2 linked regions of the Macaca mulatta genome follow. The protein of the gene in region 1 interacts with the protein of each later gene in a pairwise test. Links are inferred from orthologs where the notes say so. Each region holds a gene or a part of one and is shown on either strand. Other genes may lie near its edges.

What was found.
Region 2: the proteins of TSKS (region 1) and TSSK2 interact in binary tests that used the Homo sapiens proteins (3 or more experiments, as listed by UniProt). The link is inferred for Macaca mulatta from reciprocal best matches to the Homo sapiens genes TSKS and TSSK2.

Annotation. Positions count from the first base shown.
Region 1 is NC_133424.1:62,204,898-62,208,397, reverse strand, and holds part of TSKS (testis-specific serine kinase substrate), read left to right. Parts: intron 1-603; exon of another isoform or gene 604-624; coding exon 625-720; exon of another isoform or gene 721-925; coding exon 926-1,009; intron 1,010-1,919; coding exon 1,920-2,003; intron 2,004-2,196; exon of another isoform or gene 2,197-2,385; intron 2,386-2,597; coding exon 2,598-2,890; intron 2,891-3,500. UniProt on the Homo sapiens protein: May play a role in testicular physiology, most probably in the process of spermatogenesis or spermatid development.
Region 2 is NC_133415.1:33,587,768-33,591,935, forward strand, and holds the start of TSSK2 (testis-specific serine/threonine-protein kinase 2), read right to left. Parts: upstream 2,801-4,168; 5' UTR 2,395-2,800; intron 2,220-2,394; coding exon of another isoform or gene 2,141-2,219; exon of another isoform or gene 1,910-2,140; intron 1-1,909. Other genes in the region: DGCR2 (integral membrane protein DGCR2/IDD), read left to right, coding at 2,141-2,219.

The DNA of each region.
Region 1 (3,500 bases):
TGTGGACCCCAAGGACTTTTTTTTTTTTTTTAAGAGACTTGCTCTGTCACCCAGACTGGAGTGTGGTGGTGCAATCTCAGCTCACTGCAGCCCCTGTTTCCCAGGTCGAAGCAATTCTCCAGCCTCAGCCTCCCAAGTAGCTGGGATTAAAGGCATGCACCACCATGCCCGGCTAATTTTTGTATTTTTAGTAGAGTTGGGGTTTCACCATGTTGGCTAAGTTGGTCTTGAACTCCTGACCTCAAGTGATCTACCCACCTCGGTCTCCCAAAGTGCTGGGATGACCAGAGTGAGCCACGGCACCTGGCCCCCAAAGACATTTAGCTCAGTGTTTGGTTGAGTTCATCCTTCTTCCTCCACGTGTCTGCACACCCCACCTCCATCCCCTATTCCCTCCTGGATCCTATTTTTCTCCCAGCCCACCATGAAGAAAGGTCATTTATCCCCTGGGTTTGCTGCACAGGAATGCTAAGAATCAGAGGTATAGCTCTTGGCTCCAAGTCACACAGCCATTCCAGGGCAAAATCAAGGTGTAAACACAGCCTCCCAGTTCTGGAATTTTTCTTGGGCTTGGGGCTTGCACCCACACACCATATAACTCACCTGTCTCCCATTCTTCCCCAGAGTGGGGTCAACAGTGGATTGGTCCGCGCCAAAGACTCCATCACCAGCTTGAAGGAAAAGACCACCCGGGTTAACCAGCACGTGCAGACTCTGCAGGTGTGAGGACACCCTATGTCCAACACCTGCCCTTTCTCCAGGGCTAACTTCCCTGCTTGGAGCCTGCCTCCAGTGGAACACACCCATAGCTCAGTTGGGGAGCTTGAGACTCAGAAGGGAGAGGAACCTTCCCAGGCCCAGATATTCTTTTCCACAGGCTGTCCCCTTGTGTCCTTGGCTAACCTCTCCTCCTTCCATGCTCCAGAGTGAGTGTTCTGTGCTGAGCGAGAATCTGGAGAGAAGGCGGCAAGAGGCAGAAGAGTTGGAGGGGTACTGCATTCAACTCAAGGTGAGCCAGTGGGATGCAGGAGTGGGTGGGGAGAGGGGAATGGGAATAAGAGGGTGGAAGAAAGAGGGGAGGAGGCTGGGTGCAGTGGCTCACATCTGTAATCCCAGCACTTCAGGAGGCCGAGGCGGGCAGATCGCCTGAGGTCAGGAGTTTGAGACCAGCCTGGCCAACATGGTGAAACCCCATCTCTACTAAAAATACAAAAACTAGCCAGGTGTGGTGGCGCACACCTGTAATCCCAGCTACTCGGCTTAGGGAGGAGAATCACTTGAATCCAGGAGGTGGAGGTTGCAGTGAGCCAAGATTGCACCACTGTACTCCAGCCTGGGTGCTGGAGCAATACAGTCTCAAAAGAAAAAAAAAAGAAAGAGGGGAAGAATGGAGTGGGTGGATCAACAAGAGGTGGGAGGAAGTGGAGGGGTACCACTCTGGCACGTCTGGCTAAGGAGGAAGCCATCCCTTTAGCCAAGGAAATGAGCTGGTGAGTGTGTCTTTTTTTTTTTTTTTTGAGACGGAGTCTCTCTCTGTCGCCCAGGCTGGAGTGCAGTGGCCGGATCTCAGCTTACTGCAAGCTCCGCCTCCCGGGTCTAGGCCATTCTCCTGCCTCAGCCTCCAGTGTAGCTGGGACTACAGGCGCCCGCCACCTTGCCCGGCTAGTTTTTTGTATTTTTTAGTAGAGACGGGGTTTCACCATGTTAGCCAGGATGGTCTCGATCTCCTGACCTCGTGATCTGCCCGTCTTGGCCTCCCAAAGTGCTGGGATTACAGGCTTGAGCCACCGCGCCTGGCCGAGTGTGTCTTGTATTGAGGGGCTGGGAGGCCTGGAGCCTGTATGGAAATAGACAGGCTAAGGGTTGGGAGGCAGAACTGAAATGGGAAGGCAGGGCCCTCGCCCTGGTGTCTGACCCAGGAGAACTGCTGGAAGGTGACCCGGTCTGTGGAAGATGCTGAAATCAAAACCAACGTCTTGAAGCAGAATTCTGCCTTGCTGGAGGTAAGGAATGGAGGAGGTCCCAGGATTTGTGGGAGGACGTCAGATGCGCGAGGGACTCAAGATACACTTTTAGGTGGAACTCCCCGCCCCAACACCACCACCACACTGCTCCTGCGTGCACACAGTCATCCTTAGAACCCACTGATAAGAGGGATTCAAATGAGGCTCCAACACCCAGCTGGGGGACTCTTACCCTGCAGTCACATTCAGGTCCCAGAAAGAGACTCGAGCTGGACTTCAAGTGAGAAGGCCTGTCCTGTCCACATGCCCACTCATTTTCCAACAAAATGCTGAGAAAGCTTCAGTTGTTCTTGCCAAGTGGCCGGGACTGGTATTTGACGCCTGGAAGGCTTGGAGGGCCGGGTGGATACCTGGAGGCAGGCTGTGGGAGGTTAGCGGGAATTGGAGTCCAACTGGGCCTCAAATGGTGCCTCCCCTCCCTAATGACAGCCAGTGGGACTTCCAACATCCTGTCCCCACAGGCGTTCTACTTCCAATCTTGGGGAGTACTGGAGCGGATTTGGGGGTAGAGGTGGTTGTGGGAGGAAAGCGGCTGGACGCTGTGACCCCGTCCCGTCCTCCCTTACCGACCAGGAGAAGCTGCGCTACCTCCAGCAGCAGCTGCAGGATGAGACGCCGCGACGGCAGGAGACCGAGCAGCAGGAGCCGGAGCAGCAGCAGAAGCCGGAGGCTGGCCTCTCCCGGAACGGCCTGGGCCCCGCCGCCACGTCCCAGGGCTGCCCCGGCCCGCCAGGGAGTCCTGACAAACCCTCGCGGCCTCGCGGCCTGGTCCCCGCAGGCTGGGGAATGGGGCCTCGGGCAGGTGAGGGCCCCTACGTGAGCGAGCAGGAATTGCAGAAGGTGTTCACCGGCATCGAGGAGCTGAGGTGGGCGGGACCTAGGGGCGGGGCCTCGAAACGAGGTGGGCGGGGACTCAGGGGTGGAGCCTCGAGGAGCTGCGGTGGGCGGGACCCAAGGGACGGGGTTCTCAAGGAAAGGCATGGGTGGGGATCCAGGGAGCCTCGTGGAGCTGAGGTGGGCGGTGATATCCGTGGAGCCTCGAGAACCTGAGGTGGGAGGGGACATGGGAGGAGCCTCGAGGAACGAAGGTGGGCAGAGTCGTGGGCAGAGTCTCCAGGAGCTGCAGTGGGCGGGGACACAGGGTAGGAGCCTCAAAGATTCTAACCGGAGGACGACAAGCCTGGGGTCTCCAAGAGCAGAGGAGGGAGTGCCCCGAAGGCAGTGACCTGAGCAAGGGAGGGACAAAATAATGAATTTTTGAGTTCTGGGCTGCTGGGAGGCAGGTCCAGGCCTGGTGAAACTGAGGTGGGCGGGGCTTGGGAGAGGAGCGGTCCTGGAGGCACCAAGTGGGGCAGAGTAGGGTGGACAGTGCCTTGGGGGGCAGTGTGTGGAAGAGCTGAGGTAGAGGTTGGGGACCTGACCAGGGAAGGGCCAAGACAGCCAGTAAAGTAAGGGGATAAAGGCGGGGCTCTGGAA
Region 2 (4,168 bases), on another chromosome or scaffold:
GGGAAAATCTACATTCTGTAGAGAATCCCCATCCCTTTCAAGGTCTTTTCTCCTGAGAGAATTAACTAGAGTCTGGCACCTTTTATTTATTTTTCCTTTTTTAATTTTTTTTTTTTTTGAGACAGAGTCTTGCTCTGTTGCCCAGGCTGGAGTGCAGTGGCGTGATCTTGGCTCACCGCAACCTCTGCCTCCCTGGTTCAAGTGATTCTCCTGCTATCAGCCTCCTGAGTAGCTGGGATTACAGGCGTGCGCCACCATGCCTGGATAACTTTTGTAGTTTTGGTAGAGACGTGGTTTCACCGTGTTGGCCAGGCTGATCTTGAACTCCTGACTTCAAGTGATCTGCCCACCTTGGCATCTCAAAGTGCTGGGGTTACAGGCGTGAGTCACTGTGCCCAGGAGTCTGGCACTTTTTTTTTTTTTTTTTTTTTGAGATGGAGCCTTGCTCTGTCGCCCAGGCTGGAGTGCAGTGGCACAATCTCAGCTCACTGCAACCTCTGTTTCCTGGGTTTACGCCATTCTCCTGCCTCAGCCTCCCGAGTAGCTGGGACTACAGGCGCCCGCCACCACGCCCGGCTAATTTTTTGCATTTTTAATAGAGACGGGGTTTCACGGTGTTAGCCAGGATGGTCTCGATCTCCTGACCTCGTGATCCGCCCACCTCGGCCTCCCAAAGTGCTGGGATTACAAGTGTAAGCCACTGCGCCCGGCCGAGTCTAGCACTTTTTAATAAGAAACATTAACAGTTTCTTCTCTGTGAAGCCTGATACCTGGAAGCTTCATCTGTCTAAGAAGCTTGGTCTCCACAATCCCTTAATCCAGACAGTCCCTTTTATTGATTCCACGTCTTTAGATAAACTCTTTGAACCAGCTGCCAATCCGCATGACCTGGAAGCCCCCTCCACCCCCACTTTCAAGTTGTCCCGCCTTTTCCGACTGAACCACTGTATACCTTACATGACTGATGTCTTGTCTCCCTAAAATGTATAAAACCAAGCTGTAGCCCTACCCCCGTGGACACTTGCAGGATCTCCTGGGGCTGTGTCCCAGGCTATTGGTCACATATTGGCTCAGAAGAAATGTCTTCAAATATTTTACAGAGCTGGACTCTTTTTGCCAACACTGCCCTCCAAGGTTCACCCTGTTGGTGATGACAGGTGAGAGGTGGCACTTGGAGCACTGTTCGCAGGGGCGCTGAGCCTCCTCTTTGCCTAGCTTTCCTTCCTGCACATGTGGCCTTCCCTTCGCCATTGTGCAGGGAGGTCCTCCAGGGAGCCGGCTTCGCTGCAGTCTCCAGGATCTGGCCTTCCCAGTATCTCTTTGCCTGACACTCCCTTAGGCCATTCCTGTTCCTTACAGGGTGACCCTCTTTCCCCACCCTTAGAACCGGCAGGCCCTCCCTCCTCCACAGCGGTTCGGCCTTAAAAAGACCCCTTTGGGGCGCACTTTTGGGCTGCTCACGGGACCTGAGCTTGCAGGTGTTAAGACCCTTGGAGTCTCAGCCAGGTTCCCGCTTCGTCCTCTCCGCTCCCCACCCGCGCGACCCCACGGCGCCCAGCCCCATGCCCCGCGCCTTTCGATGTCTGTCCTTGTGGTCCCCCGCCCGCCGCCCCTACCCCGCGTCCAGAGACCCTACTCCCTTCCGAGGCCGCGTCGCTCAGGCCCCAGCCCCGGCTCTGCCTCTCTGCTTAACCAATGGCACGCCTAAACTCCGTATGGTCCCGCCCTTCCCTTAGAGCCCGCCCCTCAGTCACCGCCCTTAGGTCCCCGCCCACCGCCGTCGTGACCTTAGGCTTCACCCCCTTCGGGGGGAAGTTCTGTGGCTCTGGCCCCGCCCCCTGCCTTGGCGTTCATTGGCCCGCGCCGGCGTCGAGGGCGGGAGGCGGGGCGGCGCGGCGCGGAGCCGAGCAGGACGGCAGCCATCTTGCGCGGAGCTGGAGTCGGAGCCTGAGGCTGCCGCCGAGAGTGCGCGCCAGCCCGCGGCCCAGCCGAAGCTCTTTCCCGCCGCCTCTCCGCGCCTCGCCCAGGTCCAGCCCCGCCTGACCCTCCGCTTGGCACGGTCCCCTGACCCTCAGTCCGGCTCGGTCCGGCCTCCCAGCGGGGTCACGCAGCCGCCCCGGGGACGATGAACGGAGGATAAATGGTGCCCAAGGCAGACAGCGGCGTCTTCCTACTGCTCTTCCTGCTCGTGCTCACTGTCACCGAGCCGCTGCGGCCAGGTGCGCCGCGCGATGGGGGCGGTGTGGGGGCGGGGCGGCGAGCGGGGCCGGGGTCGCCCCAGGACCTCCTTTCACCCGCGGCGCCCTTCTGCAGGGGCCGCGCCTGGGGCAGGGGCGGGCGGGGCCTGGCTCGCGGGCCGCCTGGCACTCTCTGCGGACGCCTGCTGGAGCTTACCTGGGCTCGCGGCGCCTCGGACTTCGTGCAGCTGTGCTGTCCGGGATGTTGCCTCTGGGCCCTTCCTGGGAGCGGCGGCGGCCAGGAGCTACGCCACGGGCGCGCCCTCCCGCCAGCCCAGCGTCGGAGTCGGGCTGGGGACAGCGGCTCTCGGGGGCACCTGGTTTCGCAGAAGTCCTCCCAGCAGTGGCCTAGTGCCAGCCTCTCAGTCCTGGAAACTCCTCGCCTGGACATTGGTGGCTGTGGCAGACTGTCATTCAGTGAGACGTTGCACTGAAGAAGTCCTCAGCTCACACCCGGTCCAGAGGAGGCACCAGGAGTCAGCCTAGCGTTGTGTGGCCGGCGCCAGCGTCCCGCGAGCGGAGACCTCGCCACTGTGCGGGGCCCTTAGGCGTGCTGCGTGTATGTGATGAATGAGTCCAGGCTTTGGAACTCCCCTAGGAGCTAGTGTGTTCTTAAGTCTGTGGTGGGGAATCAGAACCCGGGCAACCTCCTAGGAGACCCTTTTCTACCTATTTCAGTGTACCTCTCCTTCCCTTGAACTGCCCCAGGACCGATGTATCCATCAGGCACAGGAATTCTGATATCACTGGCCCACGGTACTTTTAGTGGCCTGTGAATGTTATTTTATTTCATTTTTTAAGTCAGCAGGAAAAAACAACTTCTGGTCAAAGGAAATGTTTTCTTATGTATATTAATACAGTTTTCTTTATGCCAATACAGTGAAAAAGCATGACTCTTAATATTTCTTAGTGGAGGAAAGGTCCCATGAAGGCAGAAGTGCCAGGGCCGTCTTCTCTGATGACCTGGGTGTGGGAGCACGGGGTGTGTGGCCCTCTCCTCTGTCCTAGCCAGGCTCCCAGCCCAGATACACCGCACCTCTTGGCTCTGCGCTTGTGTCATCTGTATGGAATGTCTGCCTCCTCCCTGGTGCCTACCTGGTGGCCAAGGCCCTGACCCATGCTCAACCTGGACAGATTCAGTGATGCTTCTCTGGTCTCCCCATGCAGAGCTAGTTGCTCACTGCTTTTGGCTGCTCTCTGGGCAGCGGGATGACTGGTAGTGGGGTGGCCTTGGTAAGAACAGAAGCCAGGGCCGGGCGCGGTGGCTCACGCCTGTAATCCCAGCACTTTGGGAGGCCGAGGCGGGTGGATCACGAGGTCAGGGGATCGAGACCATCCTGGCTAACCCGTTGAAACCCCGTCTCTACTAAAAATACAAAAAATTAACCGGGCGTGGTGGCAGGCACCTATAGTCCCAGGTGCTGGGGAGGCTGAGGCAGGAGAATGGCGTGAACCCGGGAGGTAAAGCAGGGGGGCGTCACAGGAGACCTCACACTGAGACTGAGGTCTCAGTAGGGCATGGGTGGGGTAGCTCTGGTAGAGGGAACAAACATTCTTTTCGATTCCATGACTCTCCAGATGAGAACATTGCAGCTACCCCTGGAGGCGTCTTGAGTTGCCGTGCAGAACCTGGGAGCTGCAGTTGGCTCCCTGGCTTTGGCTGGGCAGTGAGGGCAGGCCTCTGGGCCTGATGTGTTCCTTGTATGCCCGCGTGTGCCTCTTCACACATTCACCCTATGTCCTTCCTGAGAGAGTGCTGCAAGGATCTGCCTAGCTGGTGCTTTCAAGAGGCTGGGGCTTCTCTGGTCTTAGTCGGTGTTCTTTCTGTGGGGATCCCGGCCTTAAAAGCATACTTGGGTATGAGGAAGGTACCAGTCAAAGCCCACTTCTCAGGAGTGTGTTTTCTGACTCCTGCCTGGTGGGTTCCCTGA